Alligator mississippiensis: one gene and its partners. The protein of the gene in region 3 binds, or shares a complex with, the protein of the main gene of each other region. Links are inferred from orthologs where the notes say so. Each region holds a gene or a part of one and is shown on either strand. Other genes may lie near its edges. The genes, in order: MED25, CCNC, MED24 and MED13L.

The links.
Region 1: MED24 (region 3) and MED25 share a complex: the UniProt entries of both Homo sapiens proteins name them as parts of the mediator complex. The link is inferred for Alligator mississippiensis from reciprocal best matches to the Homo sapiens genes MED24 and MED25.
Region 2: MED24 (region 3) and CCNC share a complex: the UniProt entries of both Homo sapiens proteins name them as parts of the mediator complex. The link is inferred for Alligator mississippiensis from reciprocal best matches to the Homo sapiens genes MED24 and CCNC.
Region 4: MED24 (region 3) and MED13L share a complex: the UniProt entries of both Homo sapiens proteins name them as parts of the mediator complex. The link is inferred for Alligator mississippiensis from reciprocal best matches to the Homo sapiens genes MED24 and MED13L.

What each region holds. Positions count from the first base shown.
Region 1 is NC_081828.1:39,929,054-39,936,301, reverse strand, and holds the start of MED25 (mediator of RNA polymerase II transcription subunit 25), read left to right. Parts: upstream 1-4,131; 5' UTR 4,132-4,228; coding exon 4,229-4,371; intron 4,372-6,072; coding exon 6,073-6,118; intron 6,119-7,248. Other genes in the region: FUZ (protein fuzzy homolog), read right to left, coding at 881-1,083, 1,204-1,296, 1,418-1,488, 1,584-1,672, 1,799-1,894, 1,986-2,183, 2,402-2,506, 2,640-2,708 and 3 more. UniProt on the Homo sapiens protein: Component of the Mediator complex, a coactivator involved in the regulated transcription of nearly all RNA polymerase II-dependent genes.
Region 2 is NC_081824.1:85,518,240-85,526,073, forward strand, and holds the start of CCNC (cyclin-C), read right to left. Parts: upstream 3,100-7,834; 5' UTR 2,976-3,099; coding exon 2,944-2,975; intron 643-2,943; coding exon 536-642; intron 1-535. UniProt on the Homo sapiens protein: Component of the Mediator complex, a coactivator involved in regulated gene transcription of nearly all RNA polymerase II-dependent genes.
Region 3 is NC_081827.1:164,759,980-164,767,533, reverse strand, and holds the start of MED24 (mediator of RNA polymerase II transcription subunit 24), read right to left. Parts: upstream 3,156-7,554; 5' UTR 3,049-3,155; intron 3,012-3,048; exon of another isoform or gene 2,717-3,011; intron 2,559-2,716; 5' UTR 2,550-2,558; coding exon 2,420-2,549; intron 1-2,419. UniProt on the Homo sapiens protein: Component of the Mediator complex, a coactivator involved in the regulated transcription of nearly all RNA polymerase II-dependent genes.
Region 4 is NC_081833.1:23,710,185-23,717,551, reverse strand, and holds the start of MED13L (mediator of RNA polymerase II transcription subunit 13-like), read right to left. Parts: upstream 3,107-7,367; 5' UTR 2,556-3,106; coding exon 2,484-2,555; intron 1-2,483. UniProt on the Homo sapiens protein: Component of the Mediator complex, a coactivator involved in the regulated transcription of nearly all RNA polymerase II-dependent genes.

The DNA of each region.
Region 1 (7,248 bases), on a different chromosome or scaffold from region 3:
AAATTAAAGGGAATGTGTTGCAATGGAAGTGGGGGGTGCATGAATTTGCCCTGATCTGCTCACCCCCCCCCCCACCTCCCTGGGGACCCCAGGCCTGTGGGATGACGCTAATAGCCCCCCCACCCCCCTCCTAGCAGCTGGGAGAGCTGCTGCTGCCCCAGGGAGGGGGAGGAAGCGGGGGTCCCCACAGGTGCTGGCCAGGCTCCATGGTATTTGCCGTTCTAGGTGTTTTAGCGTCACGTAGTTCCTGCGGATCAGAGCGTGTGTATCTATCTCCATGTGACTAATAAATGGGGCACCTGCCAGGGCCCCTAATACCACCTGCCCCCCTCCCCTGAGCTTCATTCTGTGCTGTGGGACCCGGCAAGGGAGGGCTAGGGGCATCAGGTCACAGGTACAGTCGCCACCATGGCACTGGGATACACCTGCTTCTGGGGTGGAGCATGTCACAGCAGGGTGTGGAGCAAACTCTGGATCCTGCAGGGTGGGGAGCACTATGCCCCTCTCTCTGCTGCACGGGTGGTCAGGTGGAAATGACACAGGAAACACAGATCGGGGTATTCCCTGAGGTTTAATTACAGGCAGGTGTGTCTCAGCCCTGGTCCAGGGCCCTGAAAAACCCAGGTGTCTAAGCTGCCAGCCTCAATCCCCTCTCTTGCCAGGCTGTGGGGATTGAGGCAACTAAGCAGCCAGTGTTCATTCCCCCTGCCTTAGAGGAGACTCAGGACCCCAGTAGTCAGCATCAGTGCTCTCTTGACATGTAGGGATCTGGTCACGTGGAGTCTGTCTCTTATTGCCAAGCTGTAGGACCTAGGCATTTGGGCGGGTGGCATCAGTCCCTTGGCCAAGCCATGGGACCCAGGTGTCCAGGCAGGTGGTATCAAAAGGCAGCATCCCCCACCAGGTACTGCAGAATATGGGTAGCCAGCGGGCGCAGGGCAAAGGTGGGAACCTCGGGCGCCAGTAGCAGGAAAAGCTGATGCGGGGGCGCCTGGGCAGCGTAGGCCTTGTACCCAGCACTGACCACATAGCAGTGCTGGGCACTATGTGAACCCCCACCTAGGGGCAGCTCCAGTGGGGGCACTGCAGGAACAGAGGGAAGGGGGGTGCTTAGGAGGTACCTGCCCAGTAGTGCCCAGCAGAACTAGAATCGGTGCTAGGGTCCCTGGTTGGAGAGGCTTGGGGGCCAGCTCCTGCACTCACCTGGGCTCCCCTCACAGGGAAAGTAATGTGAGACTACCAGGGCATAGAAGGCCCTCAAGACAGAAGCACAACTCCCCAGGGGCAGTGCAGGGCCTGTGAGGAAAAGGCAGGGAGGAGGAGGTGGGTGAGGGCAGAGTGGTAGGCACTGCCCTGGCACTGCTGCAGCACATTTTGGGGGCATCAGGAAGTCAGGGTTTGTGGGGGCAGGACCTACCCTCTGCCTGAACCCCTCTGGGCAGCACTGCACTCAGACTCCGCTTCTGCTCGCGGTTGATCAGCAGGAAACTGAGGGAGGAGATGTAGTGAGATGGGGTGGGGGGCAGCTAGCCAGGGGTGCTGATGCCCCTGCCCAATGTCCCATTCGCCCTCCCCTGACTTACGCCAGGACTCCAGGGTGCAGTGGGACACTGGGGGGACATGCACATGCCCGCAGAGGCTCCAGCAGGGGCTTCCAGAACCGTGGCACTAGCTGAAACGCAGAGATAGGCAGGCTAATGGTGCCAGTGTTCTTTCTCCCCCCCCCCCTCAGCGCCTTAGCTGGGGCTTCTGTGCAGGCTTTGTGGGGGGGTACCATGCTGTCCCCCCTGGCACCCACCTCAGTCTTCACAGCCTCCAGCGAGGGGCTGGGCCCACACAGGAGGCAGATGTCCAAGCCGGGCAGCAGCTGGAAGGTAAGGAGACGGTGGGGGACCTAGGGGGGGAGGGGGAGGCATAGGCATGGTTATGTCTACTCCCTACTTTCCACCCCTTGCAGCCTTGAGCCCCTCCCCATGGGCTCTCACCATGGGGCTGCCCTGGGGCAGGTAGACAGGGTAGTCCCGGGTAGTGCTGGGAAGTAGTGAGCCCACGAGCCAGGCCAGCAGATTCACCTCCTGGGGGGCCAGCTGCCACCAGGGTTCAGTGGCCACTGCCACACGGCCGCCCACCAGCAGGCAGCCAAAGCGGCTCTCTGCTGCCCGTGTGAAAGCAGTCAGGCATTCCTGGAAGAGGGGGGTTAGGAGGAGGAGGGGTCAAGGCAGGGCAGCTCCTTCCTTGTCCTGGTCCCAGTAGTAGTTGCCCCTCCCCTGGATCCTCACTTGCTCCAGCATCCCAGCCTTCTGCTCATTCCTGTTTGTCCCTACTCCCGTGCCTGTGGGCCAGGGCACCAAGGTCCCTCCAGGGGATAAAAGTAGGGCGTGGGCCACCGTGGAGCTCTCACCTGCAGGATGGTGCTACAGGGCACAAGCACACACTCCACACAGTGCGTCAGGTCCCCAATGCGCTCCCCAGGCATCAGGAAGCTGTCAATGAGCTTGTAGCAGGCCTGGTTGTAGGTGGGGGGAAGGGTGGAGTAGGGCTCAGCCCCACACCAGCTCAGGGCAGGGGCATATGGCCCTGTTGCCCCACCCCACGTCCAGGGCAGTTGGGGCATCCTGCTCTGCCCTTCCATCACTTACCCTCAGGTCCTTTTTAAGGCGCTCCACATTGCGGATATTCGCCAACTCCTCCAGGCCCAGCACCAGCACCTGGAACCAGGCCCCAAGCCCATCAGCCTGACACACTGAGGGGCTGGGGCGCAGGGCTGAACCAGGGCAGCTGTGTGAGGATACAGCTCTGCGTGTGTACATATACATATGCGCACACATGCCTAGGGTCCTCTAAGGGAAGATGGGGAATGTGGGTACACTTCCTGGCCCCCCCCCCTCCCCCTCAGCCCTCTAGGGACCCTTTGTGTAGAGGGGTCATATGACAGCACCCCCCTCTGGAAGGATAGGGATGGGGGCTGGATGTTAGAGCAGGAAGGTGGGGTATGGGGGAAGGAGGGTTGCTCCATGGACTTTGCTGGGGGAAGGAAAGGGATAGGGGCATAGAATGGGGGCGGGGAGGCTTACCATGGCACTGAACACATTGTCCAGGAGTCGGCTGAGGGTGAAGTCACTAGCACCTTCCTCTGATGACATCACAATGAGGGTGATGCTGGAAAAGCCAAGGGGGGGGGTAATGGCCCTGTCCAGCACCATAGCCCTTCAGGGCCAGCCCCAAATGGACCCCCTGCCCTACCTGGAGCCCTGCTCCCCTCCCTCAGGCTAAACACCTGCCCCCTTCCTGCCAGACTCGCTCCCCCCTCCAGCTCGACCTGTGGTCCCCTCCCTCTCCCCCAGGCCAGGCCCCACCTGTTATGAAAGGCCCTCCACAGCACGCGGGTGCCCTCCGTGCGGGCGGCTGTCAGCGCCACGTCCAGGTTAGAGCCAAACATGTGGACGCCGTTCAGGGAGCCGATCACGGAGAAGGGGAGCTGGGGGCGGGGGCGGGAAGTCAGTGGGGTCCCGGGGGTGGTGGTGGTGAAGGGATCCAGGACTAAGCTCTCTGCCCAGAGCCAAGGGGGAACCCAGGCGTCCGCCCCCCTCAGCTGTGGAGGGGGGGGGGTGGCCGGATGGGACTAGGGCACCTGGGTTCTCTCCCAGCCCTGGGAGGGGAGTGGGGGCTGGGAGCCGGGTCACCTGGGTTCTCTCCAGGAGGGGCGGGGCGCGCTGAAGCCAGGGCGCCTGGCTTCTGCCCAAGCCGCGGACGGGGCTGGGGCCAGGACTCGCGGGTCCCAGCCGAGGGGGGGGGAGGGAGTGCTGAACCGCGCGGGACCCGATGCAGCCCGAGGCAGGCATGACTGATCGGGGGGTGGACGCCTGCGTTCTCTCGGGGCCGGCCCGACCTGGTGCCGTGTGGGGGCGCCGCGGTAGAAGAGCGGGACGCCGCTGGTGGCTGCCAGGCAGAGCAGAGAGACGGGGCTGCCGCCAGGCTCCGCCATCACCACCCTTTCAGCCTTCTGCAGCCATTTTGCCCGCGCGGGGCACACTGGGGAAGCCGCGCAATTACTATGGAGACCGGGGGCGGGGCCTAGACCCCCTACACCCGCACGCGGAAGCGAAGAGGAGTACTTCCGGTGGGCGCCGGAAGCGGGTCTCTACGGGGGTAGGCGGGGCCTGCGTGTCCATGGTAAGTCCGCGGGACAGGGGTGCGCCGTAGTGACCCACCGCCCGCCCGCGGGGCGATGGTGGTGCCGGGCCCGGAGGCGGCGGCCTTGGGCGGGCCTGGCGGGATGGTGGCCGACGTGGTATTCGTCATCGAAGGCACGGCCAACCTGGGGCCCTACTTCGAGTCGCTGCGCAAGCACTACCTGCTGCCCGCCATCGAGTGAGTGTCGTGTGTCCGTCTCCCTCCCCCCCCGCCTTGAACTCCGGCTCCGGGCTCTAATGCCAAGCTGGCACTTGTCCTGATGCCCCCCCGCCCTGAACCTAGGCATCCAGGCTCCAGCCCTGCAGTGTCTGGCTCTGTCTGCTCCTCCACCACCCAGCTGGGAGGCCCTAGCCTGCCCTAATTCCCACCCCCCCAGTGAACCAAGGCGTCTAGGCTTTAATGCCAGTCTGTGACTCCTGCAGCCTGCCCCGTGCCTCCCGTAGTGACCCTGGGCATTTGGGCTTTAATCCTTTAACACCTGGCTATGGACCCCCAGCTGCCCCAGTGTCCACCCCCACCAGCTGTGGGACTTCCAGGGGTGCCCCCCCCCCAGTCTACACTGGCAGGGTGAGCCCAAGGATCCAGGCTTTACCCCTTTAATGCTTGGCTGTGCCCACCCAGCCTGCCAGAATGACCATGCCCCTGCCCCCCCAGTGCTCAGACTCACCATTGCTCCCAATTGGGTAAACAGTATCCCATCTTAACCCTTCAATGCCTGGTTATGCCCCCCATCCCTGACACCCATCTATGGGCACCACCCCAAAAACTCCCAGCTGTAAGACCTCCCCCCTCTTTGCCCCATAGCTTGCCCAGATGCCCGGATACCATGCCTGTCCTGCCTTATTTAATGCCCAGTGATGTGTCGGCCCCCGCCCCCCCACCTGGCTCCAGCCCCAATCGGATTAACACATCTAACAACTTCTCTATGCCCCTTCATCTCTGTCCTGGCATGTGGCTACTTCTCCCCGCCAGTCTTCCATCTCTGCTCCCCCACCCTGATGCCTACTTATGGATCCCCCCAGCCTTCACTTGATATCCAGGTCTCACCTCCCTGACCCTGATGCCTAGATATGTACCCCTGGTCCCCAGCACCTGGCTACAGCCTCCTCTCTCTCCTCTTAGTGCCTAGCTGTGTCCCCTCATCACTTTCCCAGCTCCAGTCGTTCCCCCCCCCCCCGATGCCAAGGTATGGGACCCCCTAGCCTACTCCCAGTGCCCAGGCCTTCACCTCCCTGTCACCTGGATGTGTTATCCCCAATGGTTCCCAACACTCAGCTACAGCCCCCTGCCCCCTCCAGTGCTTAGGTGTGACCCCTCTTCTCTACTACAGCTCCCAGCTACAGTTCCTCCCCTCCACGATGCCCAGCTATGGGACCCTCCCTCCAATTTATCCTTGATACCCAGCACGCCCCCCTAAATGTCTGGCCCCAAGTGCCCCACCCTGCTGTCCCTGTTCTCATCCATGACAGCCAGGCACTGTTGATACCAGCTGGGCACCTCCATCAGTGGAAGCAGCTGGTCTGTCTCCCCAGCACAGCTCCATCCAAGCAGAATGAGGCCTGCTCGCTACTTGAATGGGAAGCCTCCAGATACGGTGGGAGGGGGAGAGAGCAGCTCTGTCCCCTTCACTGTTCCACCTGTTCTGTGTCTGTCAATTGGATCATAGCTGCCTTTTCTTACCTCTCCTGAGCCACCCCAGCCCCCAGCAGTCCCACCCCCTTCCTGGCACCCTCCCACCTGTGCCCTAACAACCCCCCTCCCCCCACAGGAACAGCCCGGTTCAGTTGCCCCACATATTCCTGCCCTGCTCCATCTCTCCTCCAGCCCCGCTGCCCCCTTCCCTATTTCAGCTCTGATAGCTTTTTCCTCTTGTCACAGGTATTTTAATGGTGGTCCACCAGCTGAGACAGACTTTGGGGGAGATGTGAGTAGGCAGCACAACATTGCCTGGAGAAGGGGGAATTTTATGGCCCAACAGTGTCATTCTGGGGGCAACTGTCGGGCAATCCCATGCGTGTGTCCTGCCCCACCTCCCGGCCCGCCTCTGGCAAACTGTCATGAAGGGTGGGATGAGCACCCTGGATCCCTCCATGTCCTGGGTGTGTGCATGGTATCACTTGTGGGTGCAGGAGTGGCCCTCCTGGTGTCCCAGCACCCCCTGCCAAGGGAGGGCATTTGGGGGGTACCTGGCATCTCCAGGCAGTGGGGTTGGAAAGCTGGTCAGGGATGTACCACAAGCTGGTCTTTCACAAGGGAGGTCAGGGTAGGATGTTCAATTTGCTGGTCATGCCTTAGGCAGGGACGTACCACTTATGGGCAGTTCCCAGGGGGATGGGGTGGAGTGTACCACTAGGGGGGCAGGGGTGGTTCATACCACATGTGTGTCATTCCTGGTGCAGGTGCCCTTTGAAATCTTCATGTTCTCCTGTTCACAGCAGGTTGTGAGCATGCAGGGTGCCCCTACTCACTTTGGGGGTTCCTTGGATAGTACTGTGGGGGGCACGTTATACCCTGCTCCCCTGAGGGTAAGGATACGGGTGGGACAGGATGAACTGTGGGGTGCTCCTCAAACTCTACCCCACCCCCATCTTTCCATAGAGGTGGAAGGGGCTTGAGGGGCCATGGAGATGCCCCTTCGTGGGACACTGGTCTCCAGTGGGTTGGTGGGCCAGGATGTGGTGCAGTAGCCCAGTCATACCTCACATGCTGGCAACTGATTCCTCTTGTCCCTGAATGCCTGGGTCCTCTACAGAGCCTGAGGTGTAGTTGGAACCTTGGGCTAATGTGGGACAACCAGGGTGGGGCCCAAGCAGGGAGGAGGTGAGGAAGGCGGGGCCCATCTCCTGTTACTGGTGTCCCTGGCTGTCTAGGGGCAGGGCAAGCCCCAGGCCCTCTCCTACCCCAAGAGCACCTGTGCAGAGGGCCAGGCTTGGCAGCAGCAGGAAGAACATGGGTCAGCCAGGGACAGTGGCAGTGGTGGGTCTCTTCCCCCCTGTCCCCTCCCATTCCCCCCTCCCAGCATGGTTTGCCACCTGGTTAAGGAAGGAAGGGGAG
Region 2 (7,834 bases), on a different chromosome or scaffold from region 3:
CACAAGTTGCCGGCGGCTCCAGAGCAGCCCCCTGCGCTGCTCTGCCACGCGCGCTGCCAGCGGGACTCAGGCTGGTCTCCAGGGCAACCCCAGGCTGCACTTTCCACACAGGTGCAACTGGGGTCTCCGTGGAAACTGGCCCAAGCCATGAGGGCAGGAGCAGCTGGGAAATAAGAATCCACAGCCAACCAGATCTGGCCCACAGGGTGGAGTTTGCCCGTCCCTGCAATAAAGACACTTAACTTTTCTGTCCTATTCTCTGCCTCAATGCCTGAGAAAATGAATGTTACCTACTTTACTAGACTGATAATAGGAAGGAAAACTTAACAAGATCTCTCATAACATCTTTGAGAAATATACCTGCATCTAGTTCATACATCTTTCAAATGCGTATATTAATATAACTTTTTAAACACGTTAAGAGAATATATACATAAAAATAGGAGAAACCGAAGCTCTAGGTAAATGAACCATGAATTCAGATACATAGGTGTGACCCAAATTAGACAGCTAATCAAAAATAAAACCATTTTACCATTAGTAAAAAATATTTGAAGTTTCCAATATTCTTCTTCTGCTAGAAATTTCAAGTCCTTCTGGCGTTCTTTCAACAGATCTTGTTTATCCAAAATCCACTGTAAACTAGGAGGGAAAAAAATAATTCACAAATATTATACAGTGACTTGTGAACAAATAAAGTATAGTTCATATCTGGGGATGAAACAGGCTGGTGTGCATCCCTTTAATTGAGTCTTGTAATGCTAGATACATTCTTGCAAAATGAATGCTCATTAGGGCTTTCAAAATCAGGCCCTTTGAGGAAAAATAATCACCAGAAATAAGAGGCCTTCTCAACGCTAAAAATGTCAAATGCATTAGTTATTAGTTAAAAATAAAGTCTGAGAGATATACTACATACAGATTTTATTTTAGATGCCACACATTTAAATTCAATATACCCAGTGCTAACGATACTTGGACACAGCTCATTCTATGCCAACTTTTCTATAGGGGAAATATATTTGATTCGCTGTGACTTTCTTTGCAGGAAAAGCTTTTAAATCTCCTTCTCCCCCTCTCTGTGGTGTAGATAAGGGATGTCAAATCTCTCTTGGATTTTATGGCTCAATCTGGCCTCTAGCAAGGCTTGTAGCATCTGCATCAGCTCAGGGAACCACAGCCATCATTGAAATATGTCCCTGGTCATACTCTGAAATACCTGCCAGAATTCAGTGGTAGCCCCTGTCTCTCCTTGCCCTGCCCCCAAATTCCCAATCCCTCCTGAAGCCCCATGGACCAGATTACATGTTTCTGCAGGTTGTATCTTTGCCACCTTGCACCTCGGTGCAGATTATTAGATACTAAGTAAAGACCAACACAAGCATTCCCCAAGACTTTCCTTTGACAGCCTTAACAACGCAACGGCTTTTTAAAAAGCAAAAACTGCAAGACAAGTTTTAAAAAGCTGGCTTTGCACCCACTGAGCAGCTGTGTTTTATAAATTCATAGATTGTTAGGGGCTGGAACGGACTTTGGAAGATCATCAGGTCCAGCCCCCCTGCACTTGGCAAGAAAGATACTTGGTCAGGTGCCCCCCGCAAGGTGACTGTCCAGTCTCCTCTTGACGATTTCCAGGGTAGGCGATTGTGGAATGAGCTCCCTCCAAAGGTGGTGCAGTCTGGACACCCTAACTTGTGAAGAAGTTTTTCCTAATGTTGAGCCAGAAATGGTCTTCTAAGAGTCTGTGGCCATTACTCTTGGTTCTCCCCAAAGGTGCTCTGGAGAACAGTTTTTCACTTGGTGTACTCCCCTGATAGCAGAAAGCTGCTACCAAGTCCCCTCCCAGCCTTCTCTTTTTTAAGCTGAAGAATCCCAGGTCCCTCAGCCTTTCCTTGTATGGCTTGCTGTGTAAGACTCTGATCAGATGGGTGGCTCTTCTTTGGACTCTCTCAGGCTTGTCCATGTCCTTGTTAAAGGGTGGTGCCCAGAACTGGATGCAGTACTCCAGCTGCAGTCTCACCAGTGCTGAGTAAAGCAGAAGAATCACTTCCTTGGTTTTGCTTGAGATGCATTGATTGATGCATGCCAGAGTATTGTTTCCCTTGCTGGCTCCAGCACCACGCTGCCGGCTCATATTCATACTGTGGTCTATTACTAGCCCTAGGTCCCTGTTATTTTTTCCCCCTTAGTATTACTACTTGAGTTCAGACCTTTGAGTTAGGTTTTGTATGCCAGACTTTGGTAAATATGCCAGACAGCCCCCAGGGAGGAGGAAGAGGTGGTTGCGACTGACTTGGAGAGCTGCTGCAGTCACAGATCCTGCATGTGTATTTGGTGCATGTTGGGGGAAGAGGGGAGCAGCTCATCTGTGTGTTATGCACCCTCCTGAAACCGACGTGAAACCCATCAGCTGCTGGTGCGCCTTCCAGTTTTCCCAACATGGGATTTCTTTTCTGGCCCACAGTCAGCTTTCTTCTCCCAAGCCAGGCAGCAAGAGAGAGAAAAATGAAAGGACTTCCAAAAGAGCAAGTAGGCAGAGGAAAACGACTGGCTGTTTCAAGACCCTGGTGACCCAACACGCAAAACATGCTCAGGCTTAGTCATCATAGAGAAGTGGACCTGCAGAGGTCATCGAGGCAGGGTCATCCCTACCAAAACCACCCCATTAGGAACAGGACCGGCTCCCCTGGGGTCACTCCCATGGGCAGCCCCCACAACCAGGGGCTACAGAAAGGCTGTTTTCAGACCCCCTGGCACTGACAGCAGGGACCAGCAACGTGGTGGGCGGGAATCGCCTTGCACCCCCATGACACTCACTCGCACGTGCGTTTAGGACCCCTCCCCCGCCCCCCGGGACGTTCCCCCAACGGCCGCCCCGCCTCCCCCCCGACAGCCCGGGGCCGCGTGCGCCCCGCAGGGGGAGGAGAGGGGGTCCCCACTCACTAGTGCGAGCTCTGCCAGAAGTTCCCCGCCATGGAGCGGGCTCGGGGGAGGCGGCTCTGCCCCCCCGGCTGACCAGCCCCGCCACCCCCACGCTGCCCCCCCCCGGCCGGAGCAGCTTCGCGAGCGGCAGCAGCGGTGGCGGCGGCAGGAGGAGGAAGGAGGCGGTCGCCGGGGTCCCGCGCCCTCACTCCGCCGACCGGCAACGCGCCCAGAGACAAGAGTTCCGCCGCCAGCGCGCGGGTTCCGCCGGACGGGGGACCAAGAGCGGGTGCACCGCGCTCGGCCCCGCCCCCGGCCCCGCCCCCTCCGCCTGGCCGCGGGTTGGGCTTTCGTCTGGGGACGGGGCTGAGACTGGGGAATTGTCAAAACTGGGACGGTGACGCTGGGATTTATGATGGGATTGGGATTGAAACTGGAGGATCGGAATTCAGGCTGGGATTGGGCCTGGGAGACTACAAATGGGAGACTTGGATTGGGATTAAAACTAGGGAATTGGGAGTCAGACTGGGTTTGCAACTGGGATTGAGACTAAAATTGGGTCTGGGGGACTAGAAATGGCAGACTGGTATTGGGATTGAAACGGGGATTGGGAGTCAGGCTGGGATTGAGACTGGAGTCTGGTCTTTGATTGGGACTGGGAAAGTGGGATTGAGTCTGGGGGACTAGAAATGGCGGATTGGGATTGAAACGGGGATTGGGAGTCAGGCTGGGATTGGAACTGGGAGACTGGGTTTGGGTCTGGGGGTCTAGAAATGGGAGCCTGGGACTGGGGGACTGGGATTCGTGCCAGCTCTGAGTTGGAGTGGGCTGTTGACCCATCCCAGGGGATCTGGGCAGTGATGCCCCAGGGAGTTTTCTCCGTGTACATCTGACCATCATCACATCTACCCATCAGCACTGCTGCCAGGCCAGGCAGGGCCCCTGTAGCCCTGATGTAAAGTTGCTTGTTGCTGGCCCTTCTGCTGGGCTGAAGCCCAAGTAACAATCTGTGCCGGTGTGGGGGGTGAAAGTGATGTAAGTGTGTAAGAGCTAATACAAGACTCACCTGTTGGAAACCTGTGCTGCGTGTGCTGCTATGAATGTTCAGTGTGTTGTAGCAGTGTAAATCAGGGGTGTTGGACCCACAGAGCTAGATCTGGTGCTGTTTGGGCTCTAGTGCTGCAGCTCTCACTGGTTTAACCAGTTGCCTGGGTGAGAGCAGCAAAACGAGCCCCAGCAGCACAGTGAGAAGTCCAGCAATGTAGTTTGTTCCTGTGGTGGCAGCTAAGCTTTCACGATGCCAGGCCACTTCGCCGCAGATCCCAAATGAGCTGGAGCAGGCACCAAGCGTGCTGGATCTGGCATGGGGATGGATGGGCATGATTCAGTCTGTAGGGTGAGCCCTGTACCATTCATCCAGCTCATGAAGCCAGGTGAGTTTGACACTCCCTGGAATAAGCAGTTAAATTTTGGGCAGGAAGCAGCTGGCACTCTTGCTTTCTCACTCCAGCCTTTCCTGCCAACTAGTTATACTGACAGCCTCTCAGTGCCTGATCAACCTTCAGAGGGGTTGAACTCTACCATAAAGGTAACAGGTACTCTAATAGGACGGAATTCCTTGTTTCTCTGCTGTTGTCTTTTACGGAACCAGCCACCGGGCTGGACTCCATTAAATTCCAGATACTGGACAATTTAATGACAACTGTGAGTGAAGGAGGACACCTTCTCCCTCTGCATGGGAAGGGATAAAGATGCAACAGGAAAAATGGGAGAGGGGTTTGTACCAGTTGAACAGTAGCCTACAGCTGTGGTTCTTAACCCTTTGAGACTTGAAGGATCCCTCCATAACTTCTGTGAATTGAGTGGCACCCATTTCAAAAACTAATTTACTTCATTTATAGCTCTTACCTGCTTGAAGAGGGGCTGTGAAGAAAGAGGAGTAGCCAGCAGGGAAGAACCTGTGTTGCAGTGAGTGGGTGGAGGAGTCACTGCTGATGAGCCTGCACTCATCTCTCTGGAGCCTGTGTTTATCCCCCGTTCTGCGTCACCCTTCAAAGGCTACTGTGGCACTCTGATTGAGAATCACTGCCCTAGAAAAATAGAGCAGCCTGAAATATGTGCAATGTGTGTGTGTCCAGGGCATACTTAGCTATCTACAGGCAGACAATAGGAAATTCTAGGGAAATCCCTGTGCTCTGGCCCCCAACTCAGGGTACACTGTCTGTGCCTTCATCAGCTGGCAGTCTTAACCCTGTGGAGATGTTTACCTGGGCAATGGAAGAGGAGGGAAAGGAGCCACTTCCCTTTTGCCAAAAGCCAAGTGGCATGGGCATTTGCCCACAAAATGGGATACTTGCATGCCAGGTTTCACTGAACCTGAGCGGAGGTTAAAGCCATTTCTTCCACTTCCCAGAAAAATGCTCTTGCCACTAGGCCGGATTGAGGGTATCCTGCATTCATCCTGTTGAGACTGAGAGACAGGAAGGGAAGGAATTAAAAAGTCCTGGGGCTAGAACAGTAAATGGGAGGGAGCAAAACTTTGTATCTTGTGAGGCAGCCACTACAATAATTGTGAAGCCGTGGTGGTGCTCCCAATGGTGTTTATACATTTTATCCCAGGACTACTGGATGCATGAACAGCATTGGGAATAAGGAACAGAACCAAGGGCACCTTCCTTCCCCATATCATACTTCTCCCTTGCTCTCCTTGCTGAAGGCTGAGTGGTTTGGTTTGGTTTGATTTGGTTTGGTTTGGTTTGGTTTGGAGATTTTTATGACAGTTTGACCAGCCTAACTGATGACAAATTCTTGGGACACATTATTTGAGATGTCCTGTGCAACTACTTTGAGGAAAGGGCATAATGGTTTAGATAGGCTTTTGGGGATGTTCTAGCTATGAAGTGTTGGTTTTATGGATTTTAAATACAGTGGTGCATGTCAGTTTACTGACAGGATCTTGTGCAGTTGATCAGCAGGATTTATTGTGCATGCTGTGTGCACTTTCATTCATTTTAAATATCAGGTATCTTTTAGTATATGTCCAGTATGCATGTCTGGGCCTCCAGGTAAAGTGGGCTTATTGTTGACATGCTATGTAGAACCTCTTCAGATTCCCATGCATTCTGCAAACAAAGATGCACAGATGGATGTGTGGAAATAAATTTATTTTATAATTAAACAATATCTGACTTGGAGTGGTACCAGAACAAACAGTGCCAGGAGTAGAAAACCTGGAACATTTAAAATATATTGTGAACAAGCAGTGTGGATTAAATTAAAGGGTAAGGGAGATTTTACATAAGAACTTGGAGGACAGGTACACAAAGGTGAACAGCATCTGTGGGGCTATGTGGGAACATTGGGCCTTGGTGGTGGGGCCTTGGTTTGAGAGGGTGCTGAAGGTCATTTCCCTGCCAGACTGGAATGAGCTGTGACACAGGGTCCAACTAGTGAATGTTTGCTCCCAGTCAGGTGAGTTTTCAAAAGTCTGGAAAAGCTTCTGGCTACCATGGTGCTGGGTGGGAAAAAGTAGAAGGTGAGTGGCAGCTTTGGAACATGTTCATCAACAACCTTGCCTCTTCATAATGGCCACGAACTATGGCTGAATCTTCATGTTTATTGCATTGTGCTCTCTGTCACAGAAGGGTTTTGCTCAGTCACTTATAATAAAAAAGCAAACAGTGATGTCTGCCATTTCCTTTGCAGCTTTGTTGGTAGCCTGAGTGTTCTCAGCAATAGAGCTGGGCAGGCTCAGGGAGTTCAGCTCAGTCTTTGTGTAGGATCTTACTCCAGCTCCTTTGAAATGAAAAACTCCTGGCTGTCAGGCACAACCTCTTGATAGGAATCATCAGTCCTGCTTTCATCAGTGTCCCCTTCTGTGAGGATGTCTGTGCTTGAGATAAAATGTGTGTCTGTGCTGACTTCCTGTAAAAAATCTTGTTCAACTAGCTTTATACTATGGACTGATCTCTGGACCACAGACAGAGGCACACAACATCACTCCAGCGTAAAGTTACTATTGGTTCCAAAGAGAATAACATCTCTGAAGCAACTCATTGGTTACACCTGTGCAAGTTAAGTCATGTGCACACCCTTCTTTTTATATTAATGCAACCTTGTTTACACCAGTGTAAACTGCCTATGTAGGTAAACTCTTGAGTTTCTTAACAATAATGGACCTGATTCTCTTCTTTCTTAGTTTTGTACAGATGTAACTTCATTAATATCAGTAGAATAATTCCTGATTTATATTTCTGTAAATGAGAGAAGAATCAAGCGCCAATGAAAACTAAAGACCAGTGAAGAAGGCCATATATAATGCTTCTCTAAAAGTGGCTAGCCTGAAAAAATAATGATATGCTCTAGTGTCTGATGACCATTTGCATGTTCAATGAGAATAGAAAAGAAGATCTAAACAGACTGGTTGAAAACAATTGATCATTTTACAAGACAACCAGGATCTTGAAGATATTTTCTTTTTTTTTTCTTTTTTTTTAAGAAATCAGGCATTTTATTGTTTTTCATTATATAGGAATACTTTGCCTGGATTTCATGCATTTTCATGCATTTCCTCTTATCCATGCACTGTGATGAAATTTTGCATTCACCGTGGTTAGGGTCTAAGGCAGTGATTGCTTAGAACAACACTGTTAGGATATAGCAGTTATGTTGCCATATTTACAATTATTTCGTGTACTTCCATATAACTTTAATATTTTTGGAATATTGACATCAGTGAGATTGGGTCAGTCTCTCAGAAGTAATATTTCCTATTAGGTTCAAGCACAGTTTTGGACTGAGACCACTATGGAATTTCTTGTGATTGGTATATACTAAGTTTTCTTCTCTGCCTTTTTTTTAAATATAGATAGGTCTTGATTCTTTACACCAGTGGTTCTCAACCTTTTTAAAC
Region 3 (7,554 bases):
CAACTAAACACAAATGGCCTGATCTCCAAAGGCTTCAATACTCACAGCTCCCTCTGAAAGCAAAGGGAGCAGGCAGCTTCTCTGTCAATGCCTCAGTTTGGATACGAAAGCCTAAATTTAGGCAACTGGATTTGAAAATATTAACCATCGTGCCCAATCTGTGTTGAATGCTTTACAGAGAAATGGGGGCCTGCATAATATTAATAAAAGCTTATCTAAGAGGCTAAAATGCAGACAAAGGAGTGGAGGCAGGAAACAAGCCCGCAAAGAGGAGTAGAAGCCTGGAATGAGGAATGTACAATGTGTGGGAGTGGCAAGGAGATAAAGCATATATCACAGTACAACTTGGCATAGAAACGAATTGTAGCACAATTATATCTAAAGGGATCCCATCACAGCAGCTGTTACTCTGGGTTATGGACGTGTAACCTGTGTATTCTTTTGTATAGCAAGATCCAGTTCACACACAACTTGAAAGGTCTGTTACCCACAGCTGAGCAGAAGCATTCAATAGTGACCCTGGACTTGGTGGAAGCACTAAATGACATATTTCTGCACCTTTGTTTATAAACATCCCATTTCAAGTCACTAGGATTGTGAAGAAAACTTTCGAAAAAGTAGTTGATGCTGTTTATTTGCTAAAGCCTGCAGTCTGTGCCAGTGCCTCTCAGAAAAACAGGACTCTGGTCAGTTTTGATTGCAAAAATTTGTCCCCTAAGAAAGATTTTAGCAAACCAAGAAAAGGAATTATACCTAAGAGAGACAGGGAGATATTGTAGCAAAGGAACACATTCTCCACGTCAGGGAAGGGATGGAATAGCAGATGTATTACTTCCCAACTGGGTCTTGCATCTGCTGTGGAAATCCAAGGAAAAAAGAGTGGAAATGGCTTTCCATCCCAGCAAGCAAGCCAGGTGAGGCTTCAAATTTAACAGCACACACCCTCTAAATAGAAGCTGATATTACAGAAGTGTCACACTTCAGAAACACCCAAGCATGGCACCACAGTAAAAATCCTAGGACCCTCACACTTCCCAGCAGGGGCAAACTGGACTTCTCATTGATGCATTGCCCTCAGGACCTGGCTGTTGCTTTCAAAATCCTGATTTTATTCTAGCCTCTGATGAGAAGGAATAATCCTCCCACTGTTAAGTGTCCAATCAGTTCCAGGGGTCCTATATTAATGCATCAATAAAGAATTTTTGAAAGCAAGTGAAAACAGGTATCAAGTGAAAAAGAACCCCCACCCCCTCCACTGGAGAAAGAAAAGACCAAGGCGATTAAATTGGTATGGAGGGAAGATAGGATTTCAGGATACAGGAGATCATGATACAGGAGATCCAACCATCAGAACAACAAGGATGCTCTATTTCAGTCTTAATGTCGGTTTAAATAGGGATTTTTACCCTTTAAAAACCTCCCCTTCAAATCAGTCCAGGACCAAGTGCTTTATATTTATTTATATAAATCTTCCCAATGCATGCTTATAGGAGAAAACCTAGCAACAAGTTACTATAATTGGCATAAGAGCCTGGCAAATCTTTAGCTATGTATACTCAAGTAGGCAACAACATTTGGCAGGATTTGTGGCAGCCCCCTTTCTTGAATAGAGATGCAGAAAATAAATGCTAATAACATCTGTGGGTTAGAAGATGCTCCCATTAAAAAAAACCCCAAAAATGTCATTTTTATATAGCACTTTTCATCCTTGGGTGTGTTATCCCATTGTATAGCTAGGCATCAGATGGGGAAGCAACAGGCCAAAGTCACGTAGGTAACCAAGAGCTGGTTACTTAGAACTACAGTGCTCCATCCACTAACCTACCCCGACTCCCTTGACATCTGTAATAGCTCAGGTGTTATTGCAGTGAGTAATCACGAGACAGCTCTCCCATCCTACAAAGATTTAAACGCTTAATTTTTAGCATATCACTGAATTCAGCAGGGCTTAGCACATGTATAAGTCTTTTCAGGACTAGAGCTTTAAGATATACCTACGTTTCAACTGAATGCCAGCTATATACCCAGGCTAAAATGAAAGCTATTTAGTTTGGGCAACAGTAGCAAAGATTTGGCAGCCTGCGTTTGTAGCAACAGAAACATACCCCTGGCATCTCTGGCGGGGTTATATCTGAGCAGCTTTCTTGCCTGTGTATCCACATCCTCACAGCTACCCAAGGGAGCATAGGTATGCCTACACCTGCTGCAACCCCACCTTTGCTGGGAAAAGCAAGCACATCCTCCATTTCCAAAGGATGCTGCCGGACAGTTTTGCAGTTCTGATAAAGCTGTGGGAGAGATAACTAGGAATATGTTACAACTGCGTAATTTGCTTTCCTTCACCATGCATCCACCTCGCTTGGAAGCGCGCAAGTACCACAGACAAACATTTGTACCTACACACAAGCTAAATCCTGACCTGCCAGGTTAAGTATGTCCCACGTGGCTCCTTTAGGGAAAAATTTCTTCATATTGATAGCCCACTGGTAATCGCTCCACCGTTCCTTCCAGGCCTGAAGAATGGCCTGCTTCAGATTGACAACCTTCATCCTTCAGGTCTGAAAGCAAGAGGGGGAAAGGTTTGGCAGCATCATCAGAGCAGGCATTTTTCACCATCCCACTTGGGGCCCCCCAGGGAAAGACATCACCCCTGCACCTCTCCCAGGGCGCATGCATGAGCTCCTACATTATTATTCATGCCACCAGCACCACTTACAAGGGGGCAGCGCTGGCTGGTCCAAGTGCTGAGCTGAGAGGCTTGAGTCCCACTCCCAAGCTGAGGGAGGAAGGACAGGCTCCAGGGGTGAGAATTGGGAGTGGGGGAGACTCGGAGCTGTGAAGCCAGGGTCCCTAGGAACTACTTCCAGCCACCGGGAACAGGCAGGGCCTGGCGCTCAAGGCAGTGACCGGCCCGAACTCCTGGGTCTCTTCACCCCCCGGGGAGGAAGCAGGCTCCTGCCAGGCGATATCTCTTCCCAGCCCGAGGCGGGGGGAGGAAAGGGGGCCACCCTCCTCCCTCCGCAGTCGGATGCCAGGAGGACCCCTCACCTGCGAGCCCCCCAGCAGCGCAGCACAGAGAAAACACCTCCTGCGGGCCCTGGACTACGCCATCTTAGCACCTACCAACAAGACCTCCCCTGATTGGCCGGAAGAACGCTCGAGCGCCGCTGAGCCTCCTTGGAGTTGTGGTTCTTGGGGGGTCGGAGCCTGGCAGACCCCAATGCAGGCAGCCGGGCTGTCTCTGCCAGCGGGGGAAGTGGGCGGTGCGGACGTTGGCTGGGGAAAACTCGGCAGGGATTTAATTTTTTCGCCAAAATCCCCGCAGAGTTAGAAATCCGTGGCATGAGTGACTGGTGCCTCCTGAATCTGAGGGGGCACCCGCAGAAGCCACCAACCCTGTCGGGGGGCACCAGCCCTACCGACAGTATCAGTGTTGGCCGTCAGGGGGGCACCGGCCCCATCAGAGGGGGGGCACGTGCACCCCTGACCAGCCGCCTATGATGTGTGGCACCAGAAAGCTTGCCCCTCCTTCCTGGCTGGGCAGCGGGGCCTAGGAAAGCTCCCTGCTGTCACCCAGCTCTGCCACCACCCCCTGCAGTGCTGCCAGAGGTATGGTAATTATCATATTTGTACCATAATTTCAACCCTTGTAGGGATGTGTGACTGATAACAGTGAAGCATTCCAAACGTACTATAATTTTTGAGGCAGCTCATTGATGCAGCACATGTAAAACCCAACTCAACATCAGAGAGTCCAAGCCAACTTCTGGACTTGCTGTCAGCACCTCCTAATGACTGCTTGCTTTGAAATAAAGAAATGCTCCAACTTCAACAACCCAGTGCTTCCTCACTCACTGGCAAGTTATAGTGAGCAATATGAAGTAAATAAGTTTTATTTGCATTTTTTTTCAGTGTAAAATCATTTTTCTGCAAAGACAATAGTTTTGAGCTTCCAATACAATCATTTCATATTTAAGACCTGGCAACGCTGACCTTCAGACACAAATGTTGCCAGGTGGAAGGATGGGTTGATGCAGCTTGTAGAGGGGGTATAGCTCAGTGGTAGAGTATCTGACTGCAGAACAAGATGCCTTGGCTCAAACCCAGGTGCCCTCTTTGGGTTCAGTACTCAGGCCAGTGCTTTTTTTTCAACACATTCATTTGGATTCAGGTATTAAAAGCAAACTGACAAAGTTCACTGATGACACCAAACTATGGGGGAGTGTGGTCACTATGGGGGAGTGCTCACTACAGGCTGACTTGTACAGGCTTGTGAGGTGGGTGGACCTCAACCTGATGATGTTTAATACAGAAAAATGTTAAGTGCTCCAGCTGGGGAGAAATAATCCACAACACACTTACAAGCAGTGCTACGCTTGCCAGCACCACAACTGAACGAGACCTAGGTGTCGTGATAGACAACAAAATGAACATGAGCCACCAATGCAGTGCTGTAGCTGGCAGAGCCAATCAAACACTGGCATGCCTCTACCAAAGCATCTCGAGTAAAGCTAAGGATGTCATCCTCCTGCTCTACTTGGCCTTGGTGAGACCACAGCTGGAGTACTGCAACCAGTTCTGGGCACCACACTTCAGGAAGGATGTGGAGAAGCTTGAGAGAGTCCAAAGGAGGGCCACATGCATGATTAGAGGCCTAGAGGGCAGGTCATATGAGGAGAGGCTGAAAGACTTGGGACTGTTCAGCCTGGAAAAGAGAAGACTCAGAGGGGACTTGGTGGCAGCCTATAAATATATTAGGGGTACATCAGGGCCTGAGGGAGCATCTGTTCACCAAGGCATTTCAGGGGAGGACAAGAAACAATGGGCATAAACTGATTGAAGACCACTTCAGGCAGTATGTAAGGAAGAACTTCTTTATAAGTTGAGTGCCAAGGGTTTGGAACAGGCTCCCCGCCAAAGGTGGTACAGTCACCCACCCTGGCAATCTTCAAAAAGCACCTTGACACCCATCTTGCTGGGTCATCTGACCCCAGCAGTCTTTCCTGCCCAAGTGCAGGGGGATTGGACCCAGTGATCTGTAAGTTCCCTTCTGGTCCCTAACATCTATGAAACTATGAAACCAGGGGTGCTTGAGCCCCAGCTCACAGGCCAAATCCAGGGTACAGAGCTGTGCCACCTGGCTTCACCATGGGTCAGAGAATTTGGTGGTGAGAGAATGGTGCCAGATCCAGCACTGCCCAGGCCATTGCCATGCCGTGGGATCCATGCTAGGCCTGCCCGCCACCAGTCTGGAATAGGTCAAGCTGCTTCCAGTCCCTGTGTCCCCGCCCTCGTGCATGTCCAGATTGGAGCCAGCTTGGAGCCTGGCCCTGATCCACGTGTCTGGATCACGGCCAGGCTGCTCCCTGCCAGCCTGTACATCCAGATTTGGGCCAAATCATTCATTCCCCACCCCCTTGGGTGATCAGATCAGGGTCAGGCTGCACACCATACTTGGCCAGCCCTGCATGCAGGATCTAGCCCACCATCCGAATGTGGCCCACAGACAGACCTGGCACTGACCATCTGGCTTGCAGAGCAAAAAAGTTGGCCACCACTGTTATAGACTAATGATTCTCACCCAAGGTGCTGGGGTACCCTGAGGTGTCACAAGATCTTTTGAGGGGTGCTGCAAGGTGTTAAGAGACAAGACAGGTGTGAGGAGACATGTGCAGGTTCAGGCTGGTCCCTGCCTGACCACTGCCCTGCCTCCACTGCCTGTCGCCTCAGCAAGGAAGTAGTGCCACCATTGAGACATTCATTTTTGAAACAGGGTGCTGCTCAGCTCACAAAAGTTATGGAGAGGGCCTTGAGTAAAGCTAGGGTGCCTTAGGAAAAATGAGGGGTGCCACACATCTAAAAAGGTTAAGAGCCACTGTTCTAGACTAACCAAAGTAGATATAGATATAATACATGCTTTTGAGGGCTGCTGCTCACTTCATCAGCTGCTGATGAAACTTCAGCTCACAAAGGTTTGTGCAATAGATAAATAGATTGATTGATGGATGAGTCTACTTTAGTTAGTCTAGAACAGTGATTTGTAACCAGAGTCCTGGGGCACCCTGGAGTGCCATCAGATCCTTTGAAGAGTGCCAGAGGAAATGTAAGGCGATTAGGGAAGTGTGAAGAGATAAGCAGATCAGGGCAGGCTCAGGCTTTTCCTGATTGGTGGCCCCCCTGTCCCCACTGCAAGGAGGTAAGCCCTGTAATAAATAAATTAGCTTTTGAAATGGGGCACCCCTCAATTCACAGAAGTTATGGAGGGTGCCTTGAGTCTAAAAGGGTGAGAACTACTGGTCTATACGATTTTTTTTTTAAGAATTTTTTTGTGTTCCAAGCCAAATCAGCCAAATCAAGTCCAAATCCGTGAGTCAGTTCAGAACTATAAGTGGCCCTACAACCAGCAAACATCCTTCACCCCCACCAGGGGCTTTAGCTACTACTGGTATATAAGGTACAAATATACCCTGCCTTCAACTTACAAGAGAACAGGGCTGAATCCTGAGATGGGTGGGTGTGGGATGGGGAGGGGTCACAGCCAGAGAGGCTGGGACTCTGCTTCTTCTAAGAAACAGTCAGCTTCTATGGCTCAGTAATATCTTCTTTATTGATTCATGGTTCTGCCAGCCACACACCAAGCTCTTTCCAAATGTCCAGGAAGCTGTTCCTGTTCTCAGGAGCTCACCGCTAGAAGAGCCTGTGAGCTTCCCAATTGATCTTCCAATCAGCAATTGTCAGAGCATGGCCCACTGGGAGCTGGCCAGATACTGGTAACAGCTTTGCATGTTGTAGTATGTGGCTACATGTTTCTAAGTGTGATGTGGGCTGAGCATATAGTCCTGACTCCCTCAACTCCTTCTCCTTTCCTTTCCAATTGTTAGGCCCCTTTAAAAGATGCTTAAATATGTGTAATAAGTCCCTAGATGTAGCTTTCCCCCAGCAAACAATCACTATAGCAACCACAGGGATGAGATATCATTGGGGTATAGGAGGGAAGGTGAGGGGCAGGACAAGGGGTAGCAAAAAGGTGGGGTGGGGGGAAGGCAGGGAAGGGTGGGAAGGAATGTTTGTGAGCCTTTTTTGTGAGATAAATTGGAAAAGGTTAATTGCAGTGTTCTCTTGTATAGTCACTGTATTTGCAGTAGGACTTACAGCACACAGAGAGGTAGAAATCTTTAGTTCTCAAGGACAAGTGGCAGGCTTTTCAAAGAAGAGCACCGCCTTCTCAACCTGGTGCACAGATCTCTGTGCCAAGCCCTCTGGCTGGAGGAGGCCATCAGAAGGGGGGAGACCTGGCAGATGTTTGGGGATTGTCTTGGTTCCCTTCCCTGTCTCAAGGGAATGCAGACGTGCTGAGCGGGGCGTGCTCTGCCACCAAGAAAAGCAGGAGACGAATATTTGTGCAAAACTCCATATTGACTCAGTCACATGCTGGAACCTGCTGTCTCTGTGGGTCTCACCAACCGATCATGACACAGCACTGCATTCTGGGACCCCTTCTTCTGTAGCTCTATGCTAAAGGCAGGGTTGCATTTGGCAACCTCTGCAGTGAAG
Region 4 (7,367 bases), on a different chromosome or scaffold from region 3:
CCCAAATTTAGGCAATGCCCAAAGACAAACCAAACTGGAGCCCGACTGTGCTGGGCACTGTACAAATAAATAGCAAATGACAGTTGCAACACATTTGTTCTCTGACACGATAAGAGTCTAAAACAAACATGACTTTACCACAGTTAATTAACTTGTTTACAAAAAAAATAGTTGAGTCTTGTCAGTTCCTTGACATTTCAAGTGAAGTTAACACAAAATACGTAGGAAAGCATAATTTCTTAATTAAGACATTAATCTGCAAATCACTGCTTAGAAGTTACTTGATACCACAGCCACACAAAAGCCACTAGCAAGTGAAGTTGTTAAGGTAGTTTTATAAGACAAATTAAGGGCAATATTTTCTGGCTCTGCAGAATTTATAGATGATTAACAGGAATGAGAGATGAAGAATTTTCAATTTTTTCATTGATATTCTGCATACATATTAAAAACTTACTGCTCAATAGATGTTTATCAGTATAAATGGTAAACTCTTGGGGAAGGAGGAGATCTCTGAATCTTATAACTTTATAGTTTAAAATATCATATGCCAAAAACTATTTTAGTAGCGATTAGCACCGAGTATAACACTACACAAGAAGTTATGCCATGCTAACAACTTCCTAAAATATGCTCAGGTTCCTATTAAAAAACCTGAATAATCCTCTTTTTTTAAAGATACTGTTTATTAACTTACTGCTAACAGTTCTAATAGTTATTTATCCTGTATTTAATGGCTAGCTTGTCTCCATATGCAAAACTGATCTATACGAATCACTGCTACATCTGCACACGCACAGCCACATACACACTATCATGGTTCAGGGAAAAAACTCTGTAAATGCAATTTTATTTTTTTAACAGTGTAACCATTTTCACAACTATGGAACAAATGCAAAAGCCAAGAGCTTTTTAGTTTGTATTACGGGGCCACCCAAAAGCCATGACAGGCTCAGCACCCCAACACAATATATGCTGTACACGTGCATAGGTAAATAAGACTTCTGCCCCAAAGAGTTACATTCTTAATAAATTCAAGATACATCAAATGTGAGAGACACTCCAAATTAAGATGAAGAGAAGTGAATGAAAGTATGCCTAATATACTTAGGTGGACAAGGTTCTTTGGGTAAATGCGATCAATATCTTTTATTAAACCAAGTAATGGTTGGCCTAATAAAAGATACGGCATTTACCCAAAGAACCTTGTCTGCCTACGTCCTTAGATCAGCACAGGTACAACCAACAGCCCCAAAACACGTCTGATACTATGCCATTTATACAACTTAGAAATGACACGGTTCTTAGTCACTTACACATCCCTACCCCTGAACCAAGGATTTTAGAAAATGAAGACACATACGCACATGAACTGGGAACAAAGACAAAACAAAAAACAAACCAGCATCACCACCTGCTCAACATTCCTTCCCTGCCTCTCCAGAAGTGAGACTTTCGACTCTCACATTTTGCGCTCTTCCTCCCCACACATTCCTCCAGAAGGCTGTTCCCAACCTCCCATTACTAGCTATTGTTTTAGCTCAACCCAACTGCAGACTCTAATGAAGCCCCACTTCGCTTCCTACTTGCTCCAGGTATCAGTGTGGGAAGCTCCTAGCTGAATGACTAAGGGAGAACCCTTAGGTCTGCTCTCCAGCAAGCAGGGACAAGGTATCTGGGACAAGGAGGGGAAAAGGCATTTTGAAGTGAACCATCACTGAAACAAAGAAGCGACAGCTCTTACTCTCTTTAAGGATCTGCAATTAGCTGAGTGTCTCACTATGAAGAATTGATACAATAACTGCTGCAAAATTAAACCCTGCCATCAAAAACAGAGTGAAAGTTGCCAGTTACCAGCAAGATGAGAAGACAGCATCTGTTTTAGCAAGATACCCAGCCCACCACACTCCCAGCGAGCGCTTCCCTTAGGAAACAAAAAAAGTGAGGAGGTGTTGTCCCCGCTCCTCTCCTTTGAGCTGTGGGATGGGGACAGAGCTGCGGCCCCAGCAGGACAGCTGGCGCGTCCAGCGGCCGGAGCCCAGGGTGCCCACCCTGCACGTAATCGCTGCGCGCAACTGCTTGCTGCTGAAATGGCGTTTGCCGCTCCGAGAGGGGGGAGCAGAGACATGAGCGCACACGCAGTTTGGGAGGCGCGAAGCGCCGGGGCAGGCGGGCAGAGGCGGCGGGGGCTGCTCCCCGCGGGCACGGGCAGAGGACCGGCTGCGCCCCCGCCCCCCCCGCCGGGGAGGGGACACGCGCTCGCGACCCCGACGTCGGAGAGCAAAACAAACACGGAGCGGAGCCGGGGGAGGGGCTTGCGGAGGAGCCGCCGCGCCGCGCCGGCCGGGATATAAAGCCCCCTGGCAGCGGCAGCCGAGCCGCGAAGTTGGAGCGTCGTCGCCCGCCGAGCAGCGCGTTGTGCGCCGGGGCCGGGCCGGGTGTGGTCGGGCCGGGCTCGCCCCCCGCCCGCGCCAGGCACTCACCAGCGAGAAGAGGTTGGAGTGACAGTCCTCCAGGCTGGCCCCGTTCGCCACCCAGTTGGCCGCCGCAGTCATGATCCTCGGCGAGCCCGGCCGCCGGAGCGGGGCATGTCTGAAGAGACGGGCCCGGTGGGGCGGGGCGGGGCGGGGCGGCTCACGGGGGCGGCCGCCGCGGTGCTGGTCCTGGTCCTGGTCCCGGTCCTGGTCCCGGTCCCGGTCCTGCCCCGGGCTCGGCGGCGCAGGCGGGGCCGGCAGGGGGCGCTGCGCCGCCCGGGGGCGCTCGGGGGCCCGCGCTGCGCGCCGCGACCGACACCCCGAGCCGCCGGGGGCCGCGCCGTCAGCACCGCCGGGGGGGGCCCGCCCGCGGCCAGGTTGGGCGGCCGGCGTGGAGCGGCCCCGGCAGGACGCGGCGGGCGGCGGAGGCCGTGTCCCGGCCCGGCCCGACCCGGCCGCCCTCGCTGCTGCCGCCGCTGGCGGTGGGCGGGCGCTGCTTTCCTGCCGCCGCTGCCGCCGCCGCCGCCTTGTTTACGCCCCGCGCGGGGCCCCGGGGGCTGCGGGCGGCTGGCGGCGGCCCCCGGCCAGAGCGCGCGCGCTGTCCCCGCCCGTCCCCGCCGCCCTCGCGCAGCGCTGCCCGCCCGGCGCCGCCGCCGCTGCCCGCTCCGCCGCACGCCCGGCCGCCGCCTCTCTCCGCTCTGACAGCAATGGCGGCCGCCAGGCCCAGCGCGCCTCGCCATTGGCCGCCGCGGCCCCACGTGACGCGTTCCGACGGGAGGGGGGCAGCGCTCCGGCTCCCGCCCCCCCTGCGCAGTCCCGAGGCTCCGCTGGGGGTGCTGCGGAGTCAGCAACGGGCTCGGGGGCGGGGCCGCCCGGCGGGCTCGGGGCAGCGGCTTCCAGCGGCGCCGCCTCCAGCTGGAGCAGGGGCTGCTGCTCGGTGGGAGCCGGGGCGGGCCCTGGATCTCGGGCAGGTGGACCAGGCCCCCTCTTCCTAGAGCCTCCCCTTGCCCTGCTCACCTTGGAGGCCTGCAGGAGGTGGTTTCCAGGCCAAAACCTGTCTGACTTCATCCCAACCAGGGCGCTGGTCCAGGAAAAGAAAATCACCCAAATGAATCCGTGCCCTTCCATTATAACCAGAGGCATCTCCCCGTTGCAGTGGCTACCCAAAAGTGGCAGCTTGGGCACAAGTCTGGACGATCCGAGTTTTTGCAAACCTCCCCTGCCTCAGTGCTGACGACTGGCGCGATACCCAGCCCTCTGGGGAGAGCGCAAGGTGCTTCGTAAAAAACAAACCGTGGCATCCGCCTTGCTAGCAATATTACCTGCAGGCAAATCGCTTGATACATTTTATTATTGGGTGGCTTAGAGACCCCAAACTTGCTGTCACTTGCTGCAGAGTGAAAGATCCCATGTTAAGAGTGAATAACTGCGCTTGTCCATCCTCCAGCACAAAACGATGATAATGTCCATCCAGACGCAAACAAAAACGAATAAATAAATTGCCAGGGCCCTTTCGACTATATTGCTGGCACCGGAAGAGTAGCTGGAAGGGGAACCGAATCACTCATTGCTTTAAATGTGACGTACAGGGCATACCAGTACTTTGCTATATCTTAGAAAGCAAAACAAAATATTTAGCAGTAAGTGTATTTATAAATTTAAAAAATGCAAAAAGTAATTTAGAATTAAGTTATTCCTTTTAACATTATAGTTTCCATGGAGATTGCCATGTTAAAAAGCTAAATCAAATTGTCCCACACTTTTAGGATGCTTTTTAGACTGATATAAAGAATCTTACCTCATACATGTTTGTTTTGTTCGACTTGAAACAGCTCTTAAAACAAACATTTGCCTATCTTTAACAATACACATTCCCTCAAATTAACTATACCTGAAAGTAAAGCTGACTATAAACAAGTGAAACTGAGCACAATTGTATTCATTGTCCTAGGGGAAAAACACTCAAAAAAGTAATCAAATAGCAACAAATAGCTATAGTTAATATTACTTCATTTTAATGAAAATATTTATTTCTACTTTAATGTATGTTTTGCAACATGAATAAAGAACTGTATGTAAAATGCTAAAGTTGACAGCGTCCCTTTGAAACTTTCAAGTAGGAAACTGACTTAGCCATGTAGAATAAAGCTGAACTACCTAGACTTCTCATTAACAAATGGAAAATCGCCATTTAAAAAGTAAAATTAATTTAAATTTGCCTAGCAATTAAAGTCAATATTGAATAACAAATAGAAAAAACATACAACACATTTTAAACTATCTGATGTAGTACAAAAGCAGATTTTTTTATCCTATTTGGTGAAAACAAGAGCTTTCTTCACGTTTTTAAATAATATTTTTCATCGCTTACTTTTCTTTGCAAATAGTTGTAATCAGCAGGAGCTAGTATTTTATTACACTGACAGAACAGAATTAGTAAGAAGACCTGTTTCGTTGTAGTAAATCTGGAGCCATATACTGGCACAACAGCCCTGTCCAAACTGTACAAATGCACTGCTCTGGATAGACTTTAGATCCCTGGGGTCAGATTCTATTCCACCTATTAGGATGATTCCCCCCCGCCATCCTGCGTAAGTGGAGTTAAGCATCAGTTCTATTCCATCCTCCCTGAAGAACCTGAAAAACTAATAATAATAATAATTATAATTATTATTATTACTACTGCTACTAGCAAATTGCCCATCAAAAATGATGGGGGGAGGTGGGGATGGAGGTCAGCATTTGGCCCTGTGCTCCCGTCCCTGCCCCCCACCGCACTAGTCTGGCCCCGCCCCCTTCAGGCTCAACTCTGTCCCCCCCCCCCTCCCCCAGCAGTTTGGGTTCGGGGGAAGAAGGACCACTCCCCCTTCTTCCCCTGCCCCCTGCTGCGGGCCCAACCCCATTGCCCCCCCGCCCCGCCATGGCAGGCCTGCTTCCTCTCCTCCCCCCCGTCTCCCTGCTGGATCTTGTTGCGGGGTGACGGGGGGGTGCTCTGGCCCCTAGCTCCAAGGAGCAGATTGGTGGGGTGAGGCCATCCGGCTCCATCCCCACCATCCCCCTCTGCCTCCAAGGAGTGGGGCAGGGGGGACCACGCTAGCTCCATTGGCCTGGCCCCTCGCCCCCAGCCCTCACTGCCATGGTGGCACTCCACTCTCTGTCCTGTCTGTCCAGAGCATTCTGATTGGCTGCTGAGACAGCCAATCAGGTCACAAATAAAGCGTTATAAACAGACAGACAGACAAACTAAGGCTTTTATAATATTAGACTAGTAAATTGCCCATCAAAAATGACAGGGGAGGAGGACAGAGGCCTGCATTCAGCTGCCTCGTGCCAGGGCAGGGACACGGCCACTCCCCACATCTCCTCTGCTGCTTCAGTGACGGCTGCCACCATGGCGGGACACAGCCACAAGTAACCCCCATTCCCCTCCCACCCCTCTTCCCCACCATCTCTCCCTCCCCGCCACAGTGGGGAGGGGAGGAGTGGGCCTTGGCCCAAGTAACCCCCCTTCCCATTCCCCTCCCACCCCTCTTCCCCACCATCTCTCCCTCCCCGCCGCAGGGGGAGGGGAGGAGTGGGCCTTGGCCCAATGCAAGGGAGAACCAGGCTCAAGGGTGGGGAGAAGCCGGCCTGCCGTGGAGGGGGGGGGCAGCAGGCCTGGGCCGACCCAGCGGTGGCAGGGGAACAGGAGGAGTGGGCTCAGAGCCAATGGGGAGGAGGGAGGGGGCAGGGAGAAGTGGGCCTGGGTGAGCTTGAGGAGAAGCCCGCCCACCACAGCGGTGGGCAGGAGCAGTGGGCCCAGCCCGACATGGTAGCAGCTGAGAAAGGGGAGAAATGAGCCTCTTCCCCTCCTTGGGCCCGGGCCCATTTCTACCCCACCCCCTTCCTCCCCCCACTGTCAGCTCCAAGCCCGCACATCCTGTTCCCTCTCACCGCTGTGGCAGCCTAGGCCCACTGCTCCCCCCACCGCGTGGGCCAGCTTCTCCCCCAGCTTGGGCTTGGTCCTCCTCCCCACCACGTGAGGCCCGGGCCCACTCCTCCCCTCCCCTCCCCCCACTGCCACTGCTGCGGCGCGCCCACTATTCCCTCAAACCACATCTGGCCTGCTTCTCCCCCCACCACTGCTGCATCATCCTGCGTCAGTCCCTCAGGCGGCAACAATGGAAGGGGTTAGGGGTGGGCTGAGGTATTCACCATCATCATCCACAAACTCTTCACCAAACAGTCATGGTGAGAATTTCCTAGGCAGTGCTGACAAACCTGAACAGCTGGAAGCAGGTAGCCTATGATCTCCACATGAGTGGCTTAGGTGTGATGGTTGCATGACTCTCTCTTGGTGATGGGAACATGAGGTCCTACCTAGGCAACCAGGTGGCCCTAATTAGGGAGGCACCACCTGCCTCAATCCAAGGAGGCCCCAATAAAAGTTGGGGTAAAAAAGGCTCACCTCTCACCAACTCCTGGCTGGTTTCCTATGATCAGCGGGATCTCCTTTTTAAGTGGGAGAAACAAAAACAGACAGAAACTGACAATTGGATGCTGGAACATTCATACACTAAAAGGAAAATCGAGCTTGTAGAAGAACTGCATTAATAGCAAAGGAGCTACACAGGTATCAAATAGATATCACTGCCTTATCCAAGACTAGACTACATGACAGCAGTGTGCTTAGAGAAAAAGAACACACTTTCTACTTGTCAGGTTACAAGGCAGGCCAAAACACCGGCCTACATTGGGTAGGATTCACAATAGCAAACTCCATTGCTAATAAATGATCACATCAAACTGTGTCAATATCCAAGCACTTAATGACATTCCTGATACCACTGTCCCATAACAACTCTATGGCCATAATAACACCTACACCCCAACACTACTTGCTTTCAAAGAAAT